4 linked regions of the Caenorhabditis elegans genome follow. The protein of the gene in region 4 interacts with the protein of the main gene of each other region in a pairwise test. Each region holds a gene or a part of one and is shown on either strand. Other genes may lie near its edges. The genes, in order: cfz-2, ral-1, mig-22 and C15H9.4.

Evidence for each region.
Region 1: the proteins of C15H9.4 (region 4) and cfz-2 interact in a two-hybrid assay, tested with the Caenorhabditis elegans proteins (one large-scale study listed by BioGRID).
Region 2: the proteins of C15H9.4 (region 4) and ral-1 interact in a two-hybrid assay, tested with the Caenorhabditis elegans proteins (one large-scale study listed by BioGRID).
Region 3: the proteins of C15H9.4 (region 4) and mig-22 interact in a two-hybrid assay, tested with the Caenorhabditis elegans proteins (one large-scale study listed by BioGRID).

The regions. Positions count from the first base shown.
Region 1 is NC_003283.11:3,440,954-3,446,565, forward strand, and holds cfz-2 (Frizzled-2), read right to left. Parts: upstream 3,925-5,612; 5' UTR 3,923-3,924; coding exon 3,722-3,922; intron 3,070-3,721; coding exon 1,794-3,069; intron 1,201-1,793; coding exon 1,075-1,200; intron 1,021-1,074; coding exon 887-1,020; 3' UTR 551-886; downstream 1-550. UniProt on the Caenorhabditis elegans protein: Receptor for Wnt proteins.
Region 2 is NC_003281.10:3,309,603-3,317,362, reverse strand, and holds the start of ral-1 (small monomeric GTPase), read right to left. Parts: upstream 6,054-7,760; 5' UTR 5,767-6,053; coding exon 5,646-5,766; intron 4,798-5,645; coding exon 4,739-4,797; intron 4,664-4,738; coding exon 4,598-4,663; intron 3,590-4,597; coding exon 3,468-3,589; intron 3,163-3,467; coding exon 3,076-3,162; intron 1,467-3,075; coding exon 1,289-1,466; intron 1-1,288.
Region 3 is NC_003281.10:8,763,015-8,769,113, forward strand, and holds mig-22 (Chondroitin sulfate synthase mig-22), read right to left. Parts: upstream 4,322-6,099; 5' UTR 4,261-4,321; intron 4,205-4,260; 5' UTR 4,196-4,204; coding exon 3,977-4,195; intron 3,927-3,976; coding exon 3,627-3,926; intron 3,543-3,626; exon of another isoform or gene 3,510-3,542; intron 3,382-3,509; coding exon 3,295-3,381; intron 3,248-3,294; coding exon 3,135-3,247; intron 3,068-3,134; coding exon 2,362-3,067; intron 2,282-2,361; coding exon 2,129-2,281; intron 1,771-2,128; coding exon 1,061-1,770; intron 1,004-1,060; coding exon 877-1,003; 3' UTR 525-876; downstream 1-524. Other genes in the region: mtss-1 (Single-stranded DNA-binding protein, mitochondrial), read left to right, coding at 5,300-5,392, 5,445-5,509, 5,785-6,099. UniProt on the Caenorhabditis elegans protein: Has both beta-1,3-glucuronic acid and beta-1,4-N-acetylgalactosamine transferase activity. Transfers glucuronic acid (GlcUA) from UDP-GlcUA and N-acetylgalactosamine (GalNAc) from UDP-GalNAc to the non-reducing end of the elongating chondroitin polymer.
Region 4 is NC_003284.9:6,095,856-6,100,687, forward strand, and holds the start of C15H9.4 (Transmembrane and coiled-coil domains protein 2), read left to right. Parts: upstream 1-1,787; 5' UTR 1,788-1,857; intron 1,858-4,832. Other genes in the region: C15H9.5 (GOST seven transmembrane domain-containing protein), read left to right, coding at 1-130, 610-821, 886-993, 1,050-1,083.

The sequences.
Region 1 (5,612 bases), on a different chromosome or scaffold from region 4:
CTTCTGTAGACAAAAACTCAATTTTTCCTAAACTACAGTAACCCTACCGTATACCTACAGTACTCCTACAGTACCACTACAGTACCTTGACATTATCCATCACCAACTTCCAACCCAATACCTCTTCCAACTACAGACTACAGAGTTCAAAGACCAAAGATCAAAGATCAAACTACATAGGGACAGAAGGACACGCGCTTTATATATAGTAAATGATTTGTATGTTTTTTCTTTGGAAAAGTGTCTGAAAATTTACAAACATGTATTAAATTTAGAACAAAAAATCCAGAAAAATCATGATTTTAGCCAGAAAACGCGAAAATATAAAAAATGACGTCACTCATTTGCGTGGGAATTTAAATTCAGTTTGGCCACATTTTGATATAGGCAAAATTCAAAAAAAATGTTAAAAACTTTTTAACAGTTTATTCGGTCATGACGGTCGTTTTTCTGCCATTTAAAGTGAATTTCAATCGAACACAAGTGTCTTGACTGACAATATTCATGAAATAATCTTCTAATATACCGTAAATGTTTTCAACAAAAAAATCATCAATTAAAATAATATTTATTAGGTATGTACATTCCGAAAGCTCGACAAGAGGAACAGGCAGTATTCAAAAAACAACACTCTAATAAGATTACAAAAACATTGTTTTTAGTTATTAAATTTGTGATATTAAAATTATTTGCAAAAACTTTTCTTTTAAAAAAACTGAGAAAGAATGCCGGGAACTTGAGATCAATGGGATGATGATGGTGAGAAAGAAGAGGTAAAAGCTCATGAGAAAAAACTAATTTTAACGACTACAAGTATTGTGGAAAGTTGGTCCTGAAGAGGTAGATGTGCGGGGATCACAAATATTAAATATGCATTTCTTGAGCACTACAGCTTGTCAGGAATGCCTCCGTAAAGATGGTTGTGTCGGAGACTTGTGTTGTAGAATTGTGAGGATGACATGTCAGATTTAGCGTAAAGTATGTCTGCCGGTTGGTATTTGGGTAAAGATCGGGAGGAACCTAAAATTATTAAATTAATAAAACTTGTTTAAACTCAAGCTAGATTCAACTTACCCAAACAGCAAATAGCATTTTTCCACGACGATAGAGTTTTGGTGCTGCACACCCAAAATCCGGACGTCCATCCCAAAATGCACATACAGCAAGTTTTGATAAGGGAGATGATCAGTGAGGAGTCGCCTGAAAATTTAAAATTTATGAAGAATAATAGGGGGGGGGGGGGGGGTTCAAATTTCAGAAAAAAAATTTGGCGAGAAATTTAAAATTTTTGAAAAAAAATTATTGACACTAATTTAACATTTTTTGAGGAAAAAAATTTGGCGGAAATTCAAATTTTCTGAGAAACTTTTTGACAGTAAATTTAAATTTTTTTCTGAGAAAAATTTTAGCTGGAAGTTCGAATTTTTGAAAAGGAAATGTGGAAAGAAATTCACAATTTTTGAGGCAAAATTTTGCGGAAAAATTAAACTTTTTGAATAATTTTTATCATGAAATTCTAAATTTCAGAGAATATTTTTGGCGGTAAATTCAATTTTTTCGAAATAAAATATTGGCGGTAAAATCAAATTTTTAAAAAAATGTTTGCGGAAAATTTGAATTTTTGAGAAAAAATGTTTGGTGGAATTAAACAAATTTTTGGGAAAATTTTTAGAAAACTCGTTTTTTAATTTTCTAAAAACAATTTTAGCGAGCAACTGAAATTTTTTAATGTGAAAAAAATGTTTACTGGGAAATTTAGATCAAAAATTGTTATAGTTTAAAAAAAAACTCACCGATAGTTTGCTTTGGCGAGCATGAGCACAACTGCGATTGCTCCCATAATGATCGATGATTCTGCTCGTAGAATAGAACACAGATAATCAATAACGATGGAATTGTGTAGAGCAATGAGAAAATCCCGATTTTGCTCATCAACTGCGTGATTTTATGGGCACTCTCCAGTGAAGGATGTTGCTTTTGTACTTCGTTTCTGATACTCCACAAATTGCAGAATCCGATTACCAAGAACAAAACTCCAACGATGAAATATACGAGCAATGGGAAAAGCACAAAGATTCGTTGGAATTGTAGATCAGTATTTCCCACGTAGCAGATTCCAGTTATCGGATCACCATCGATCGCATTAAAAACTATTACCAATACAGTTTGAATAGCGGGAAGGCACCATCCGACCACGTGGAAATGGAATGAGAACGAGGAAATCGCTTCGGGGGACCACTTTGAAGCGGCCGACAGCACCCAGGTTAGCGAAAGGATCACCCACCAAACCGAGGCAGCCATTCCGAAGAAATAGGTGAGCAGGAAAACGACGAAGCACAAGGATCCAGAGTTATCATCAGCCCCCTTAATCCTCATCGAGTCGCATGCGATCTCCTCGTGGCCCACGAAATATCGAATCATGAATCCGACGGCAACCATGAGCTGACAGAATGCCAACATGAAGATCGGACGTTCGGGGTATTGGAATCGATCGGTCTCGATAAGGAATGTGAGGAATGTGAAGGAGGCTAGCACGCAGCATGTGATGCTCCAGAACGCCATCCAGTTGCTCACCAGGCTATGACTCTCGGCCAACGCTGGGGAATGGCATGAGTAGGCGCAATTTGTTACATTTCCAACTTTGGACTTTTCAGATGCCACAAACTGGAACGGTTGGTTACAAGTGCACTGACACTCGCTGGGACCGGCTATTACTTCATTGTCGATCTTGGAAATTCCGACTTCTGGGCCATCTGGACTATAGTTATGATTTTGATTTTGATTCTGGTTCTGATTCTTATGATGATGCCCCTTGTGCTGCTTCTTTGGTGTATCTGGTGGAGCTGCACAGATGTTCCCAGTCGACATCTGATCCGACATCTTTGGCAGCGCCTCGCAAGACAGTGTCTCGGGCCATCTGAATCCGTACTTGGCCATTATTGGACTGCACTTGCTGCGTGCCTCCACACAAAGTTCCATGCACGGGAGAATTGGTTTGTCGTAGTTTTCCTGGCAGATCGGGGTGTACATTGTGCAGAGGAAGAATTTGAGATGTTGGAAACAACCGACCTGGAAATATAAATTTTTTTTTGATTTTTGGAAGAAGGTAAGTTTTTCAAATTTACTTTTTTCTTGATTTTTGCGAAAAAAATTGTGAATTTGTCGTAATTTAGAGCCTAATTCAATTTTGCGTTTTTGCAAATTTTGAGCGCGAAATTTAAATTTGGATTTTATTTAATTTAGCTCAAAATTTAAATCTAATTTTTTTTCAACAACTTTGGCACTAAATTAAGGTTCACATTTTTTTAGTATATAACAAATTTAAATTTATAATCTTGTTTAAATTTTAGCGCCAAATTAAAATTTTAATTTTTAAATTTTTGGCGGAAATTTCAAATTCAGATTTTTTTAAATTTTTGGTGTGATATAAAAATTTCAATTTTATTTAAAATTTAGGGTTGAGTTTTTTCAAAAATTTGGCGCAAAACTCATTCTGAAAAATTTAAATTTTCAGCGCGAAATTCATATTCGGATTTTTTTTTCGAAAATTTTAGCGCCAAGTTAATTTTTTTTTCAATTTAGCGCAAATTCTAAATTTGGTGTCTTTCGAATTTTTAGCGCGAAATTCAAAATTTCTCAATTTGTGGTGCAATATTCAATTTTTGTTTTTTTCATTATTGCAAAAAATATTTCCTCATAGAAAATTGTTTAAAAAACTCACCTCCACCAGCGGATAAAATTGATGAACTTCCAATCCGGCTTCTTCCTGTTTTTCATGTCCATAACTATTCGGGAACGATGTCATATTGTAGCCAATACCTTTGCATAGAGGAATTGTGATTTGCTCACATTTTTGACGTTTTCCAAAAAGAGCCCCACAGGAGCCAAGCAATAGGAACAGCACGCTGATCCGGAGTAGCATATCTAGAAATAAAATGTTAATTTTGAAGTTAAAGATATTAGAAAAGGTATAAAGAAAAAGGAAAGAACAAAAAGAAAAACAAAAAAAAAGATAAATGAAATTTGAGATTTAAGTAGCTGAAGGTGGAGGAGAATAAGAAGACAGGAAAAGTACAAAGGATGCGCTTCCTCCTGAGGAGGGAGGATCGGTGTCAAGTTACGGGAGTTCTTAGAGAAAATGATCCGTTAAAACACAAAAAAATCAATATCCACGTAGCAAAACTGTGATCGCTTATCACTATTTACCGAGTACTACTACTATCATGACACAATACACACAAGAGCTTTGACCTAACATCCAGTGATCAGCTATCGGATCGGTATCAAAAATATAAGAGAGAGAGAGATACCCAAAGAGCACTTTTTCATCATACAGAGCATCAAAAGCATCAAAAAACCAGTAAGGGGAAACGATTTTTTTGCGGGAAATAGTGGAGGATATGTGGAGAGAGTGTTTGCAGGCACTCGAAAAATATATCCAACCAAGATATATCGGAAAGGTCTTTATCAAATTAGATATGTTTTTAGCTAAATTCTCTATATTTAGATCTGGGATGAAATCTGAAAAAAGAATATACAAATTTATGAAAATGAGAAATAAATAAGGCTCAGGATACGAGAATTTTGTTACGTGCTGGGGTATGTAACCTAGTTGTGCAAGCATAGGGGTCTCAAACGGAACACGAATGGAATTCAAGGGGTGTCAGGTTGCATAAGAAGAGCCTAGAAAGAGGAGATATGTTTTGACTCTACCACCTCCAACCAACAACTACTGAAGTTATGTACATATATATGAATGAGCTGGGGGAGATGGAAAGGGGGAGGAGAGAAGAGTGTGCAAATAGGGGAGGGCAAAGTGGTGGCTGGCAAGGAGTTGGAAAATTTTGGAAGGTGCTAAAAGGAGGAGGTGACCCCCACTGTGAGCAACAACAGGTGGAATGGAGGATGGGTTAGAGATGTGGATAGGGCTGAAATTATTATAGGTGGAGTAGCGCCAGTAGGGAAAGTGTTAAAACTACTGACTTGGTGCCAAAATAGCCGAATATTAAGATAAAACGTTTCAAAAACTTTTTGAAAATTTTTTATTTACTGGCAAAAAATGACAATTACTCAATAGGCAAAAACTCATAATTTTGGAAATCGATCAAAATAAATTTTTTGCCCTACATTTTCATACTTTAATTTTGTTTTATTTGTTTGTATTAAAACATTGTAGGGGTCGGAACATGCGACCGGAAATTATTTTTTTAAAAAAATTTTAAAGAGTATTGGCATGTGTTTTTAAAATGACCAAAAATTACAGTAAAAGCTTTTAAAAAATTTTTTTGGAATTTCTTAATGCACTGAAATAATTGGAACAAATTGCATATTTTTCTTCAATTTTTATATTTTAATTGTTTTTTTTATTAATTGTGGAAATTTCCCAAAAGGTACACATTTTTTAAAAATTTGGCAATTTACGAAAACTGACTGGAATCTTTCAAAAATCTATATTTTTTGTAGTGTTTTTACTGATGTTTGGTCATGTTAGACAACCTTCAAATAATTTTAATTTTAAAATCGCAAATCCTGAAAACTACTAGAAAAAAAGTTCCGACTCTACGAAAAGTTGATTAAAAATTAAAAATGTACTGATAAATTATACAAAAATT
Region 2 (7,760 bases), on a different chromosome or scaffold from region 4:
AAATTTGGGGATTTTAGGAGTTTTTAACTGAAAAAAAAAACGATTTTTTTAATGAGAGTTTTTACTGGGAAAAATTGTAAATTCATAATTTTTCACCGGAAAATTGAAATTTTACGATTTTTGGACTAAAAAATTGAAATTTTTTGGACTAAAAATTGAAATTTTATGATTTTTTGAACTAAAAAATTGAAATTTTATAATTTTTTGGACTAAAAATTGAAATTTTAGAGTTTTTAACTGAAAAAAAACGAAATTTTGCGATTTTCCAAACTAAAAATCGATTTTTTTGACTTTACAAAATTGAAATTTTGGGGATTTTTAGATAAAAAAAACTGGAAAATGGCATATTTCGGAAATTTTTAGTGAAAAAAAAACGGAGTAAATTGACTATTTTTGGCTAAAAATTGCACAAAATCCATACAATTTTGAAATTTTTCACAAATTTTCATTAAAAATTCGAATTTTTAATCTAAAAACGACGAATTTTTCACTATTCAACTCAAAATTCCACTATTTTCTCCAATTTTCTCGATTTTTAGCCTAAAAACGTTGGATGTTTCCAATTTTCCGGCTGAAATTCGCCGAATTTTCCAAATTTTCAGCCTAAAATCCTCCCGTACCTTTTTTTTCACAGGAAAAATTAAAATTTTAGTAGGTTTTTAGCTGAAAAATTGAATTTTTTGAGTTTTTAACTGAAAAAATCGAAATTTTTTATATTTTTTTGACTGAAAAATTGAAATTCTCCAAAATGAGCACAATTATTAGCTCAAAATGAATTTTCCGGGCTCAGAAAGTGAAATTTTTAAAATTTTCAGGGAATTTGTCATGAAAGCTCTTAAAATCAGCAAAAAAAATTGTTTTTTAACTAAAAAAAGGCCATTTTTTGATTTTTCATGTGAAAATTAAATATGTTTTTTTTTGTTATTTTTTACACGAAAAGATCGAATTTTTATGAATTTTTTGATGAAAACTTGAAATTTTATGATTGTTTAGATGGAAAAAATCGAATTTCTTGATTTTTCAACTTTAAAGTGGAATTTTATGATTTTTTAACTGAAAAAATCAAAGTTTTAGGATTTTTTAGCTCAAAAATCGCTGAATTTCACAGATTTTCAGCCGAAAACTTATTTCCTGCTGAAAATTGGAGACATTTGTGTCAAAAATTTGAATTTTTCGCTTTTCAGCTCAAAATTCCGCCAATTTTGACTATTTTCTCCAATTTTTCCAATTTTCCGGCTGAAATTCGCCGAATTTTCCAAATTTTCAGCCTAAAATCTCTTCCCAATACCTTATCAACATTTTCACGTCTTTTAGCCGATGTCTCAACATAATGACATCCCCATTGTTCAGCACGTTGTCGACATAATTCAGCTGATACAACACGTTGATCACGCATATCACCCTTATTTCCAACCAATACAATTGGAACTGATGAATCCGAATTTTTGACACGAAGAATTTGTTCGCTGCAAGAAATAACGGGGGTTTTGGGCCTAAATTGTCTAAAAATCGAAGCTTTTCGGCCTAAAATAGGCAAATTTTGGCCGTTTTTAGTGAAAATTTCACAAAATTCGGGTTAAAATTTCCCATTTTTCAAGTTTTTCGGCTTAAAATAGGCAAAATTTGACATTTTTGAGTGAAAATTTCATGAAATTTGGGTGAAAATTGCCCAAAATCGGGGTTTTTCGGCCTAAAATAGGCAAAATTTGAAAGTTTTTAGTGAAAATTTGATGAAATTTGGGTGAAAATGGACCAAAATCCTAGTTTTTTGAACAAAAATAGGCAAATTTTGTAAGTTTTTAATGAAAATTTGGCAAATTTGGGGTGAAAATTGACTAAAATCCGAGTTTTCGGGTCTATAGAGCGTAAAATTTGAAAGTTTTCATGAAAATTGGGTTAAAACCGACCTTTTTAAAAAGTTTTTCGGTCTAAAATAGGCGAATTTTGAGATTTTTGTGTGAAAAAGTGAAATTTTCTTGAAATTTAGAGTTTTTTCAACCGAAAATAGGCAAATTTTGGCCGTTTTTAGTGAAAATTTCACAAAATTCGCGTTAAAATTGACCATTTTTCAAGTTTTTCGGCCTAAGATAGGCTTAATTTGACATTTTTAAGTCGAAATTTTGTAAGTTTAGGCTTAAAATGGACCAAATTACGAGTTTTTTTAAACAAAAATACGCAATTTTGAAAGTTTTGAGGAGAAATTTCATGAAAATTGGGTAAAAATTGACAATTTTTCGAGTTTTTACTAATTTTGAAAGACAAAAATGTGCAAATTTAGACATTTTTAAGCGAAAATTTCGTGAGTTTAGGGTTAAGATGGGCCAAAATCCGAGTTTTTTGACCGAAAATAGGCAAATTTGGACATTTTTGAGTGAAAATTTTACGAAATATGGGTGAAAAATGCCCGAAATCGGGGTTTTTCGGTCTAAAATAGGCAAAAATTGACAGTTTTTAGTCAAAATTTAGTAAATTTAGGGTTAAAATGAACCAAAATTGGAGTTTTTGCCAGAAAATTTCAGAAATTTGCATATTTTCAGTAAAATTCATCGAAAATCTGACATTTTTTTGGCATTTTTTAGCACGAAAAAGTGTTTTATTCAGTTTGGAATCTTTTTTTGCTAAAAACGAGCAAATTTTTACATTTTTATTGAAAATTTCATGGAATTCGGGTTAAAACTGACCAAAAATCAATTTTTTCGCATTTTCAGGACTTTTTTGGTCGAAATTTTGCTATTTTCAACCAAATTCCAGTTAAAAGTGACCAAAATTCGCATTTTTCATTACTTTTTTGCTCGAAAATGGCAAAATTAGCAGAAATTTGGTGTATTTTTCAAATTTTTCGCTTAAAATCGGTCAAAATTAGGAATTTTTAGGTGGAAATTATCGAAAATTGCCCTATTTTCTTGAAATTCCTCCTTTTTTTGTCAAATTTCAGCCAAAAAAAAAAACTGAAAATTCATTAAAAATTATCGATTTTTGTCCAATTTTTCGAGAAAAAACTGAAAATTTCAATGTTTTAGGGTGAAAAAATCAATTTTTCTTCATTTTTCCAGTCAAAATGTCGAAAAAACTTACCGAAACTCGTTTGTAGCCTCAAATGATTCCATATCCAAAATCGAAAAGACACAAATAAATCCCTCACCACTTCGATAGTAATTATCACTGAAAAATTGAAAAAATTGGGGAAAAATCAGTTAAAATTACGATTTTTTGGCTCTTTTCGCGTGAAAAAACAAAAAATTCCTTAAAATTTAGTCTTTGGTGGGAAAAAAAGTTCAAAAACCGGCTCAAAACCTCCGATTTTTCCGGAAAATCCCAAAAAATCGGCTTAAAATGACGACTTTTGCTGAAAATAACGAAAAATAAGCCGATTTTTGGCAATTTTTCTCTAAAATTTGATGAAAAACATCCAAATTTCGTGATTTTTTCGATTTTTCAGCGATTTTTCGCCAATTTCCAGTGCTTACCGAATTGCAGAATAATCTTCTTGTCCAGCCGTATCAAGAATATCAATTGAGCATTCTTCACCGTCTAAAACCACTTTTTTACGATACGAATCCGCTTTTGTTGGCTCATATTCCTCCACAAACTGCAAAAAAAAAGGATAAATTCGGTTTTTAGATTAAAAAATCCGAGAAAATTGGAATTTTTGAGTGAAAATTGTGATTTTTGGGGTTTTTTGACATAAAATTCGGGAAAATCAGAACTTTTCAACGTATTTTTGGTAGAAAAATGAAAAAATTGGGATTTTTTGACATAAAATTCGTGAAAATTGGAATTTTTTGGGGGTTTTTCGACATAAAAAAGGCGAAAATAGGTATTTTTTTAATAAAATTTTTGGAAAATTGGAATTTTTCGGGGGTTTTGGATATGAAAAAGGCAAAATTTTGAATTTTTTGGCATAAAATTCCCAAAAATTGGATTTTTTTTTCATAAAAAACGTGAAAAGTGGAATTTTTGTGATTTTTCGACATAAAATTCGGTAAAATCAGAATTTTTCATAGTTTTTGGGTAGAAAAATGGAAAAATGAAGATTTTTTGGGGTTTTTTGACATAAAACTCGCAAAAAATTGGAATTTTTCAGTGATTTAAAGTAGAAAACGGAAATATCGGAATTTTTTACATTAAATTTGCAAAATTGGGATTTTTTTGCCTTAAAATTCGGGAAAATTGGCATTTTTAGAGCTTTTGAGTGAAAAAAACTCGAAAATCGGATTATTTTTGGATTTTTTGACATAAAATTCGGGGAAAATGGAATTTTTCAGGCTTTCTGACGTAAAATACCCAAAACTCGAATTTTTTTGGGGTTTTTGGCAAAAAATGCACAAAATTCGGCCTAAAAAAGGTACAAATTGAGATTTTTCGACATAAAATTCGGGAACATCGCAAAACTTCGGATTTTTAACATAAAATTTGAGAAAAACGACGTTTTTAGAGTCTTTGCATGCAAATTTGCAAAAATTCCGGGATTTTCGTCTAGATTCTTCGGAAAAATCGGAATTTCCGGTGTTTTCTTCTTGAAACATCGATTTTTAGGTTTTTTTCGGAATTTTTCAGAAAAAATTGTTCTTTTCTCGTTTTTCGCCAAATTCCGCACCTCATCATACATGAACTGCAAAGTGAGAGCCGATTTTCCGACACCTCCGGTTCCGACCATAATAACCTGCAATTTTATTGATTTTTTCAGTTTTTTTGGGAAAAAATTCAATTTTTTCGAATTTTCAGGGCAAAAACTCACTTTATGGACGACTTGTTGTTGCGGCGGCAGTGTTCCGCTTGCTTTTTTCGATGCCATGGCTGAAAATTCGAGTTTTAGGGGGAAAACCCGGGGGAAATCGACGAAAATTGGGGAATTTCTCAATTTTTGGCTAGAAAATATCCGGGAAATTGCAAAATTTAGCGTTAAAAATGGAAATTTATGCAAATTTTCAGATTCTCAACAACAAAAACCACCAAAAAACCGGTTTTCCCGCAGAAAATTCATCAAAAAATGACCAAAAACCACCGTAACCCTCCATTCTGAAAGTTGTGTACTCTGCGAACACCGAATTTTACGACAGTTGAGGGGTACGGTAGAAAGCAGGATTTTGCAGGTTTTAAGTAGATTTTAAAGTGAAAATTGTCAGTTTTAAGCTAAAAAATTGTGAAAATCAGTTGAATATATTGATTTTCATGTGAAAAATGCAAGAAAAATTGAGATTTCCTTTTAAAAATGACTGAAAATCTTGAAAACACCAGATCTTACGCGCAAACTTTTTTTCTTTTTATTTTTCACAGGGTTTTTACATATTTTTATTAAAAATCTGCTCAAAAACTGAATTTTTCTGTAATTTTTATAGGGATTACATAAAAAATAAATGATTTCCTTCTTAAAATAAAAAAAAACAGAAAAAATGCCGAAAATTTAAAAACTCGAAATTTCGGTTAAAAATTTAAAAAATTTTCAAAATTTCTACCGGAAACTTATTTATATCAATGAAAACTGCTCTAAACCCCATTTTCCCTCAAATTTCTGCTAAAAAATTCAAATTCCCGCCGCCCAGCGCCAATTTCTCATTAGAGCGCGTTTGCCTCAAATTTCCTCACTTTTTCCTGGATTTCTGCCATTTAAACCAACTTTTCACCACGGAAAAACAAAATATTACCTTCCGGATCATAAAACTCGGGTTCATCACTCTTCCGGCGGAATAAAAAGTGCCAAAGAGCCAAGAATTTAAGCTTTATCCAGTTCCACCCATTTCGGAGCACATGGGACACCTTATCCATTTTTTTTAACGAGAAAATATAAAATTTTCCACTATAGGAAAATTACGGGGGATTTCTCGAGGTTTTTCAGGAAAAAGAATAAAAAATTTCGCAAAAAAAAATGTTGCGAAATTTTCGGATTTTCGGGTCGGAAGAAGGTGTCCAATAGCAACCAGAAGAGCGTATGTGCCTAGTGCCTCATTTTCTATTCACACGCTGACGGGAAAAGTGAGGGTGAGAAATAGTGTAGAAAACCGTGGAGACGCAGACTTTTTGACTGTTTTGGTGAGGCACCGCCTCGCTCTCCCGGCTACACAATTATGCATAATAAGACAAAAAGGCGGAAAAGGCAGAGACGCAGAACAATATGAAATGTTATTTGTTTTAGTACTGTCTGCCGGTGATAGAGGAGGGGATTTTAACAAAAAAACTGTGAAAAAAGTATCGAAATTTTTGAAAAAATCGATAATTTTTCTTGCAAATATCGATTTTTTCCAGGTTTTTTTGAATTTGCCCTACTGAGAGCTTCAAAATGACCCCCATATCGGCTGGTTTACTCGAAAATTCAAAATTTTGCGGTAAACGCGCCCTACCGCACACCGGGGAGGTGGGAACTTGAGTTTATCGATTTTTTAAAGTCGATTATCGATTTTTTCTAATTTGTTCTGGTTTTTATCGAATTCCCCTCACTGTAAGCTGCAAAATAACCCTGATATCGGCTGAATAACTCGAAAATTTGAAATTTTGCGTAAAACGCGCCCTACCGCACACTTGGTCGGCGGGAATTTGAATTTCAACGCGGTTTAACGAGTTTTCAATTTTTTTTCTGATTTTTCCGGTCAAATTGCGGTAGATTTACTTGAAAATTAAACATTTAGTGGAAAACGCGCCCTACCGCACACCAGCGACAATGAAAATGTGCTCTATCGCTAAACGGCGCGGAGGCCCGCGGGAATTTGAATTTTTGAGTGACAATTGAATAAAAAACGATTTTTCCAAGTTTCTCATTGTTTTTCCTGGATTTTGGCCTCAATTAATTCAAATTTTCAAAAAAAAAATTCAAAAATTACCAAAAAAACCTGCTATTTTTTGCTCAAAATGTCGTTTTTTCCCATAAAATAATTTTTTTTTTTCATCACGAAAAGTGTTCCCAAAACATTTTCCAAATAAATTCTATTTTTATTGTTCTTCTCCAGAAAAGAAAAGACCTTGGCATAGTAAAAGGACTCCAATTATCGGAGGAAAATGAGGGTCAAGACTCTTTTTTTCTTATTATAACTTGGTAGTTTTGATGAATTAGGCAGTTTAAGGGAGTAATAAATTAGAAGAAACTTTTTTTTTTGGGAAAAAATTTTTGAAATTTCGAAAAAAAAATTCAAAAAAAAGTTTTTTTTGAACTTCTTTTCAAACTTTTTTTCGGAATTTTTTTTTCAAATAATTTGTTTTTAAAAATTTTCTGCTCAAATTCATACTCAGCTCACCGAGTCCTTCAAAATAACACCCATTTTGGCGGGTTTTTTTCAACGTTTGAAAAACCAAATTGAAAGTGCGCCCCACCGCCGCACTGTTGGCTGGCGGGAATTTAAAATTACTTTTTAAATTCGGGGATTTTCCTGCTTTTAACATTTAAAATGCCGCAAAACTACATTTTTTCAATAAAATGACAGAAAAAATTTGGAATTGTTGCAAACGCGCTCTATAGCCAATTTGCTCGGCGGAGCGCGGGAATTTGAATTTTCCAAAATATTTCAATGATTTTTCGGTGTTATAAGCTATTATGTTGTGAAAAATGATAAACAACAGTGAAAATTAAAAGAAAATATCGATGTTTCGTTAAAAATCGGATAACTGCGGTGAAAACGCGCTCTACCGCTAATAAGGGCGGCACGGGCGGATTGTTTGGCGGGAATTTGAATTTTATTGTGGAAATTATGAGTTTTAGACTATTTTTCTTGATGAAAGTAGATTTTCAGCAAATTTTCCGAATTTTTTAAAGGAAAAGTTTGAAATTTTCG
Region 3 (6,099 bases), on a different chromosome or scaffold from region 4:
GAACGATGATTGTAAGAGAAGGACAGGAGAGCAAAATGGTTTTCTTATCATTCCAGAGGTTTTTTCTCACTTTTACAGTGCATATTATGCACGTTGTCGTTCTGCGGGCAGAAATGAACATAGAAAATTAAAAAAAAACATAATAAATTGAAGAGTTAAACTTAAAATGGAGAATTTCCGAAAAGAAAAATCGATTTCGAAAACATCTTTACCGTAGTTTCCATCAAAGACGCAATCTACATCTTGGGCGCGCGGGTCTCACCACGTCTTTTAAAAATTACCGTATCCACCTCAAATTTTCAAATAATAATTATAATTCCGTTCTTTCAAAGGAAAATTTGAGATTTTAATGCGAAATGTCCTTAAAAAGAAAAAAAAAGAAAATGTAGTAAAATATTAAGTTTTGCGACAATTTAAAAAAGAATAGCCCAACTTCCTTTTAAACAAAATATTTTGTTTTAAAATCATGTTGCAAGGCCTGCGAAATTTGATTTTTTTTGACAAGCACTGTTCTTCAAGAAAATCAAAACAAAAATTTATGATTAAAAATCACAGATATTCATAAATTATAGAAAAAGTGGACGGGTCGAGATAGTATGTACTTTGTTTAGTGAATTAAAAAATGTGGCACAATTTAACATAAACTGTAAAAAATGAATTATTTGACGACGGGGATAAAGCATCGGGTTGTGGCAAGCGGGCTAAAAATTATTTAATGAAAAACCGCCGGGATTATCGTATTCACATGAAAAGAAAATGTTATGCTCGGAGCAAGAGGGCAAAGTGAAAATTGTAGTGCAATAGGAAGGTGAGAAAGGGAAAATAGGAAACCGTATTTGCAGAAATATCATGGACAAGTTGGGAGTAGAAGGGTGTTCATTTTTCGTGGAATAACAATTTTGCCAACTGATCCTTCGCCGCCACGTTTTCCTTTTTACTGTCCAGGCAACGAGCGATATCTTCGGTGTCGATGCTTTCCATGTCACAGCTTCTTTTGTGATATCTGTAAGTAATTCATTAATTAATAACACTGGAACAACACAAAATTTGGCGATCTTACCGAATTCGGAGAGTTGGCTCAACAGCCCTAAGTACATGTATAGAATCTTGTCCCAAGAACGCAGAAATCAAGTCGTTCCGTCTCTCATTTTGACCGAATTTAGCTCTTGCTGTCACATAATCCACACCATAAACGGCGAAACAAGAGAAATCTTGAGAATCAAATCGTCCATGTTCTTTTTGTACAATCAATGTTCTTTTCCTTTTTGGTTCAACTCCATCTCTTAATCGTGATAAAGCAGCTTCACGAGCTTGTTCTGTCGGCGTCTCTTTTTCTTCTTTTTCTGTCATTTCCATTCCAGAGATTGTCGGATGATATTCAACAAATGGAACTGGGAAGAAAACTTGATAATGTTTAATCGTATTGATACGAGCTCGATCAAAGAACTCTTTTTGAACATCTGCATGTGGAGAAAGTAGAAGATAGATTGTATTGGCTCCGTATCGATCCACAGCATCATCCAACGCAGCAGCAGCAGCTGTTCCCTTTCCTTCTGTACTAACAGCAGGATGTACTGGAAGAACATCTGTTTCCAAAAGTGATCGCTTGCATCGTCGCTTTAATTCTTCCATATCATTAGTGATAGCAGTCACTGAACGAGATTCGATTAATGGGAAAACGGCTACAACCATTCGAGTTTTACGGGCTTCTTCTGTGGGGAAGAGACAGAGGCGAGCTTGTCTGGCAAGAAGTTTCCGGGCTGGGAGAACCTACAATATATACATATTTTCAATTTGTTTATATCAAAACAATTAAAAATGGGAACCAATTTTTTTTTGAAAAACCTTTAGAAAAACACTTTTTGTATGTTCAACAATATATAAGTTCTAATCAAAGATGTTGATTTTCGATTTTACACTAAAATATTTCGAAAATAGCTTTAAATTTTGGATATTTTTTAAAAATAATAAAAGTATATTTTTCTCATGATTTTTCTATCAACATAAACAATTTTTTTTAAAATTGAGTTTTTGTTAAAACATTTTTTTTATTTTTGAAAAATCGAAATTTTATAAACATTTTTCGACAATCCCTTCTCTTTGTGGTTTTCAATTTTATAAAACTAACGTCTTTTTCACTAGCAACTGGAATAACGACAGTGACATCTGTGTCTTCTTTCACATATGGTGCCTGGTTCATAAGCTGCGTACTTGCAATCATTCGACTAACGTGCACTCTTCTTTCCACAACAATCTCTTTGAGACTTTCCTCATGTGCAGCCTGAGATTGTAAACAAATTTATAAACTTTCAGAAAATCTGTTTCAGATTTAGATTTAGATATTCTAGAACTTTTATTTACCTCATTATCACTTTCAAATCGATTATCAACTTCAGGCATTTCATTGACAGTCTTTCGATATGTCAAATCAACCATATAATCCATTCCTCTCCGTGGATCAAAAACTCGATATCCATTTCTCAATTGAACAAATTCAAGCTCTGGTTCTTCTGATTCAACTTGCTGCCGAGCAGCCACCACAACTTCAGCAACATCATCGAAATCTTTTCCTTCAAGACGTCGAACATTTTGATTAGGTTCACTTCGAAAGAGTTCAGTCATCGTAAAGTACTCCCAAGTCGAAACTTGATACCGATTTGGTGGTTTTGCATACGGTGGAAGTGCTGGTGGCCAGCTGATAGCTTCTCCTGTTTCACGAGCTTCTTGCTCAGCCAGACGAGAAAGTTCAGCTTCCATTTTGATAATTTCTCGATCAGCTCTTTGCATTTCAACTCGAACGAAATAATCATGAAGTGCAGATGCATCTGCATCAGAAAGTAATCTTGGCACAGCAAGAGCTCTCTTAAATGCTGGTGAATGTTTCCAGTCCTCAATCGAGTCATGAGCAGCTGGCGAATCAGCTCTCTCGGCTCCTCGCCAAACTTCATAACGAACTCCTTGATGAAGCGGCTTACATGTCAAATTTGTTGCGATTTGAATGCACTTTTCAAATGCGAGTTGATCGTCATCGGCTGCCAGTGCGAAATTGTTGCAAGCATTCCGATTGCTGAAAATATTCAGTTTAAAACACTTTTCAGTTTATCATAATGTGAAAATTTTGATTTAAAGCTTACTTCATCAGAGCATGCATTGCTGGCTGACTGAGCAACATTCCAGTATCCAATCGGCATCGTCCACTTCCATCTTCAGCTGCTTCACCCATCACAACTGGTTCATTCCAATTCATCTGACAATTAACAACTATTTTACAAAAACAATTACTGGATAAAATACCGTATCAATCATTCTGAGCAAAACGAATGGGTTGATATACGTCGAATCTTTGGCAAGTAGAAACCAGTCATAGTTGTTGTGGACTGTCTGAAAACATTTTATTTTTAATCAGGAAATGCAACTCCGACAGGAAGAAGCCAAAAAGAACAATTGAGATACTCTGAACAGGGGAATTTTTACACCAAAATCGACTTTACAACATGGGGTAAACTTACTGAAAAACATTCAATTGACAATTATAATTGATTCTGAAATAGTTTTATGACTTTTTTTTTTGAAATACGAGTAGTTGACAACTACATAAAAAAACATTTTTGAACAACTCAACTAACCATATTGAAAAGGAGACCCAAAACCATCGAATGCGTCTTTTGTCCGTTTAGTTTATATGGACTCAAATTGGTTAACTGGGCCAAGTCATTGTCGATTCTTGAAGAGTCAGCAAACAAATGTACACGTGGAACATGGCGCCCAAGAGTTGCATTAATAGAAAGAGCCAATGCAGACTCAGCCATCACTGCGGCCATAACTCGTTCACGTGTACCGAGTTCAGTGGCTGCAAATCGAGTTCTTGTAACCTTTGGAGTAGCGTCTTGATTATGAGGAGGCGCTGGCATATCGTCTTGGTGAACCTAAATTTGATTCTTTCATGAAATTTTGTGTTTTTTTTAAAGCTACTCACAATCCAATGCTCAGATAAATCTTTATATACTCGCCCTTTCTCCAGTGCCGATGGTTCAAGAACATTCGTTTCTGTTTCTTGATTCTGACATGATGTAAATGCAGCCAATGAGCTGGTCAAGTCTATACTTGGTGTGGATGAAAAGAAGAAGAGCGCGAGAGCGGCACCTATAAGGAATCCAAGAAGCAAGTGTATGCCTGTTCGACCGCCGCCGACCATTCTTCGATTCTAAAAAAGGAATAGAGAATTATTAAACTTTTTTTCAAAGCCGGTGAAAAACGTACCAAACAGTCAGCAATACGCCTTGATACAATTCCAATAACGAAGTTTTCTTGTGAAGAAGCTCTGAAAATTTACAATAAGAAAGTGAAGTGAACAAGAGCAAATAGTGATGTTTGAGCATGAATGAGCAGAACACAGGTTAACTGATCAAAGAAAAGCGTGAAAAGACAATACGGGTTTATGAATGAATGCAAAACAGTCGTCATAGAAGATGTGTGTGACAATGCTCGTAAAATGATTGCAGGACATGTGAGTGGAGCGACAACCTTCTTCGGTATGCGATGCAGACGGAAGACAAAAAAAACGAGAAGAGGCTGTGATCGACGCCGACGTTGTAAGAAGGTGTTTGAAGAGATAGTCTTGAGTTGAAAGAGACGCAGACATTATGTTCTGTACTTGACCTGACTAACTAAGGTCATTTTAGAAAATTTAATGTTCGAGGACAGTGAAACCGTTAATAACATGCTATTTTGAGAATGTTTTTCTAATTTCTTAATTTTCAAGATTTTATCTCAATTTTAATTGAATTAGGAAATTAAGTTCGAAATATGACAGATAATTCGTGGGAATAATTAAAATAACATATACATTGGAATTATGAATATCTTTTTAGTAGTTTTAGAATGAACATCTAATAACAATCAAATATAGGAAAATCCGAAATAAGATTTTGAATTTAACGGAATTTTGATAAATTTTATTGGTTTGAATCAATAAAATTGTAGAAATAAAGTGGTTTTTTGCAGTGAAACTTAAAAAATAAAAATAAACCGATGACAAGAGAAAAGCGAGAGAAACACTGAGTAAACTGTGCGGCGTGTTTGCGGAAATCGCGTGCCAGGCTTGCAACAGTGCGCGATTCAACTCCGCCCACAAAAAATGCAATTTTATTTTTGCTTTTCCATATTTAACAGTTGTTTTGAGCCCGTTTTTATTTGTAAAATGTATATACTATGTTTAAATCTTTTCGTTGAACATTTAATATTGAATTTTTAAAAATAACTCATATTTTGCTCAATCGATAAACCAAAATTATAGAAAATGCTTCGTTCACTTTCCACGATCTCCAAGTCTACCGTCCGCTGTATGTCATTGACATCCAAAATGGCTGCTGAGCAACCGAGCAAGCAAGAGGTAAGTTGAAAAACAGCGAATTGTGCAATTATGAAATTTTTGTCTGTTTCAGGTTGATGACTTGTTCGCTGAAAAACCACAACATCATAACCCAGAACAAAGACGGCATGCATACAGGTATGATATGAGTTTTACACAAATGTTAAACTTGCATTTTTCTGAACTAGGAGATTAATAATTTGTATCAAAGTTCCTGCTAGAAAAAATAAAATGTCACAATTTTCAAAAGCACAAACGCAACGATTGACAATAAAAATTACTTATTAAAAAGTCGTTCGAATATTGTTGTAAAATAGCTGTGAAAGATACAATTTCAATTTTGAAAGCATAAAAAAACAAATTTTGAATTCAGATCATATCGATTCAAAATTTATTTATTATCACTATTTCAGTGTGAATAAAGTGGAACTAGTCGGAGGAGTCGCCTTGGATCCATTGTACAAGACTGGAAGGAACGGAAAACCTTACCTCATCTTCAATATCATCACCAACTCGTACTTCAAGCAGCAAGACGGAACTACTCTCGATCAAACTGAACGTCACGCCGTTTCAGTTTTCGGAAAGCAAGCCGAAATCCTTTCAAAAACCATCAAGAAAGGATCCCGTCTTATGGTTCAGGGGAGACTTCATTATTCTGGAGGACAGAAGGACGAACAAGGAAACCGTACACAACGCAACACCTACATCATCGCTCAAACTGTTCAACC
Region 4 (4,832 bases):
CTTGGTAGAGGGAGCCACTACAGATGGAAAAGCCGCAGCCAATTTGGAAAAACTACGTTTATTTCGACAATTTTATATTCTCGTTGTCGTCTACATCTACTGCACGAGGTTTTTTGGCTTCATATTACTCGTGAGTTTTAGAATTATAACAATTAAACATGTACAAAAAAAATTCTTAGCTTCAAGCCAGCGCCAGTGGGAAAAGTGTTGAAACCCCACTTTTGTGGTGCCAAAATTCCAAATATCACAGTACAACTTTATACAATTTTTTTAAATTTTTGATATTTCGTTTCAAAAACTGGTAATTACTCAGGTTTTACTACTTCATTGAAGTGGTCGGTCAAAAAAAAAAACTACCTTTGGATTTTATAGTCTACGTATGTTTCAAACATCGGTTTTTAAACAATGTAAGTATAGATTGGGACAGTGCCAAAAAAAATGGCAAAATCTCAGTAAATGTCACTTTTTGACTATGAATTCAACATTTGTAAAAGATTTACTATGATATTCGGTCTTTTTGGTAACCTAGGAGCGTGTTCTAACAATATCGTCACCGGCTCCTACTCTAATTTTAATCATACATATGTGTGCATAATTATTCCCGTTCAGCACTTAATGCCTGTGAACCTCCAATGGACCATTGTCGCTGCAGTCGAAATGGTTACCTTCGCATTTTTCATCATCGTTGGCTACAAATTCCGGCCTGCCAATTCACACAATTATCTGCTCTTGAACTCGGATTTTGATAGCTATGATGTGGAGACATCGCCGAAAGAAGATAGGAAAGATAAAGAAAACAATGAGCAAGAAATTGATGAGCAGTGAGTCATTCGTTTTATCATCTTTGTGAAAAAATCAAAACCTTGAGTTGAGAAAATCTTGCAGATTCCTGACAAAAGCCTACTCAGATGCCAATGTGTCGAGGAGATTGGTTTCAGATGAATCATCAAACAACCAAACCGACTATCCCCATCAGAAACTTTTGAAGAAACCGTGAGTGGCTTTCAGTATTAATACATAACATTCAATAATAATCTGTATTTGTTCAGTTCTCAAACCTACGAACAATCATTGCTAGATTAATTATAATCCGTTACAACAACAACAAAAACAACAACGAGTTCAGTGCAAACGGAGGGAGGCTTATCAACTCAACCAACCAACTGTTTCGATTATAATACTATTATGGACAGGATGATCATCCAGACTTCTATCGCGTTCTACTCACTATTTTCAAACATTTTGCTTTTCAAATAACATTTCTACCGGTCCTTTCTAGATGCATGATAATGTGTATATAACTATTTTAAGATAATGATGAAAATTGAAACTGATTTTGAAATATGATAAAAACAATTTCAAATTCCATTGCAATATCAATCATTCCTTAGAAAATATTATCATCATTATCTAAAAACTTCAAGATGTATGAACTAAATTTTTTCAAACATATAGGTGAAAGTACACTGGCCAAAGTGTATAAATTCTAGTCTCCGCCTCCTTTTCCCCATCTCTAATCTTTTTTAGTTGTAACATTTAGTCCAATAAATTTCCAGTCGTGTGATGTGATAACTCGAGACTCCCTGTAAAAAAATATTGTTAATTATTTTTCATTCTATTGTGTACTATTTTCTGAACCTTCTGTGTCTTTGTGTGCTCTATGGTCATCTAGTGAATTCAATATCTTATAATTCATTAATGAAAAGAAGATTTTTTTCCTTACTTAAAATCCTTTGTAACATTGATATAACCTCATATTACAACATCTATACAATATTTCATGCAATTCAGAACGACAAACCAACTCTAATGAGGGATCGCCGCATTGGACAGCTGTCCGAGTTAAAAGGACTAGTGGTAAGAGAGGGGTGAACAAGCATGGCGAAAGGGGGTACGCATTATTGCGTGCGCGTGTTTGCGTACTGCGCGTATTAGCCATTGTCTGCCGACCACCCGGAATCCGGCCATTTTCTGTGCACCGCAATAGCCAATACCGCTCGATTATTAGTTTTACGAGCCAATTTGCTCTTTTTATAATCCATCTTAGCTGTTATCGATTTTTTTTCGAGTTTGTATGGTTTTATATGCATTTTTGTTTTGTTATTAATGCTATTATTATTGGGTTAATTGCGCAAAATAGTTTTCCAAAAGTTTTTATGTTGAAATAATAATTTCCTTCTTTATACTCCTTTTCTAATTATCATCATGGTTTTTTCTCTTTTATCTGTCGTTTCCCTCAAATTGCAAGAAAAGTGTTTTCTTTTTAATTTAATCACAAAATGATTATTTTTAAATTATTAAAAACAATATGATTTATGGTTCAATTTCAACATTCACTTGATGTATATCAATTTATATTGATTTTTCGCGTGAAAATATCTCAAAAGAGCTAATTGAAGCGCGGAAACTTGTTTACTGTGTTCTTTTTCTCTGTCTGATTCACCAGACATCACAATGCTCAGTTAGAAGGCAAAAACATTTTTTCCTCTCCTATATGCCTCTCATTGTTTTGGCCGTTTTTGGCCGTGTGGATTACTGTTTTACAAACTGTAGAATAGAATTTTCACACTTTTTTATTTTTCTTGATGTAAAAACTTTGATTTTGAACTGCAATCCGATAGGGGGAGATCTTCATTGAAAAAACGTTTTACCGCACTAGAATGTTCTCATAATTAATCAAACATTAACCAGTTTTAATCAACTCAAAAAAGTGGAACTTTACCCTTTGATAACAACTCCATTTCCGACTATGATGGTCAACGGTGCAATGATAAGAGAAACGTCTCCCCCTGTATATTGACATTTATGTGCTTTTTCAATTTTCCATTGACTACATATAAGACAGTAAGGTGGACAATAGGAAATAGTTTTGCTCTATTTTATGTTTTTGTTCACCACTTCCGTACCTGCAAAAAAGAATTCAGAGCTTGAAACCTTGCCACCTATTACGACCACAGTTTGCGTACAAATGAGTGTGTGTGTCCGTTCGCGTCCGGCCAATCCTCTCTTCGTCGCCTAGCCGTTTTTTCGCGCGCCTCGATCTTGATTTTCCGCGTTCCTGCAGTTTTCTGTGTTTTTCCGAAACTAGGCAAAATCAAAACGCGGCGCTCGATTTCTTTTCCATTTCCTGTTGACTAAGAAAAGAGTGTTTTAGTCAATCTTCCAAAGTGGTTTGATTGACATCGACGCCCCTATTTCACCACCAAAGCGTCTTCTTGCCCCCCGCTTCTTTCTTCCCTCATCTTTCAACCCTTGCCCCATAGATGGATGGCTTTTACATACTTTTGGAATACTTGCACTTCTCCCGCTGCTTGCTCTGTGTAGTTCAAAGTTGTCGAGAAGAACAAAAACTGCAAAAGGCATTTTCTTTTTTTTTTGCTTTTTCGCTTCATAGATCGTCGTCATGAATTATGTTTGGCGCGTTTGAGTGAGGTGTGAGTGCAAAGACCTTGAAAAACATTTCAATCGTTTTTTTCACAGATGAGCAGGTTGCCTATATATCTCCCCTCTCGTCAACTCGCTTTTTGTCACCATTGTTCTTTTGACCATTTTTACCACCTCTAACCTTTCGGGTTGATGTGTATCTCAATACTTTTTACGGTTGCGCCGCATTAGACCCCCGCGTTCGGGAGGAGGCTACCCCACAAGTGTTGACATACTCTTCAACGTTTCTACGTTTAGTTGTGCCCTCAATTTGTTATTTTGATTTCTTTTGGGCAAACATAACTATATTCCTTTTATTTGCCAATTTAATGTTTCAAAAAGTCGATTAATTACGTTCACAGCTCCCTTTACGAAATAGTGATGTGAATTGAAAATTTACTGGAGAATGAACTACTGGGTTTTAAACTTTGTCGTAATAAGTGCAAATAATTAACCGGATTTTTTTCTCAAAATTTGAATACCCGCGCAAATTCTTGCTGAACAAATTTTGTATGTTTTTTTTCCAAAAAACATTTTTTGTAGCAAATGAATTTAATATATTTTTTATAAAATAACCAAATATCATAATAAAACTTTAAAAAAATTTTGAAAATGTTTTTTATTTTGAGTAAAAAAGCTGTGAAAACTCAGTATTTATATATTTTTTCTATTTTTATTTTTTCAAAAATATTTTTTCATCCAGTTTTGTGCTTTGATTATATTCAAAATACTTATATTCAATAATTTCCGCATTGTAGAGATTATAACTTTTTACCGCTTCTGACTCGAAATAAGATTTTGTCCAAAGTTTTTTGATAAGTTCTATTATCATATTTGGTCATCATATATTATAAATCATGTAACTATATAAATATTTTAGGTCATAGCAAAAATGAATAGGAATTTCAAAAAAAAAATAAAAGCAAGTCCTTATTTGTTTTGCATACTTTTTCTAAATTTCTTTCAAGTTTTAGTTTTAATGTTAAAAAGTATAACAAACCGTCTAAAACTAATAATAGAGCGTCTTTACAGTCCAAACAAAATACGTGAAATTGATTTCCCGCCTCTTCAGACTTTTTCAAGCTGAAATATTTCGATCTCAACATTTTTGTTTAAATTTTGTAATAGCACAAAGTTCCAGAGTGCATTCTACATGTTTAACCATTTTTCCCCATTTCCACATTTTTCAATCGATGAAAAATTAATATAATGGCGTCGGATGAGACATACATTCTTTTATTTTCAAAATGTTCAGAAAAAAAGTTCCACTCACACCTCGTGATACAGTGACTCAGCCACTTTGAAATGACCAATTGTTAGAAAACTATTTAGTTGGTGGTTATAATTTACGTTTATATTTTAAATCATTTGACATGTTTCTCATTAAATTCCTTGGTAAATAATTTGTA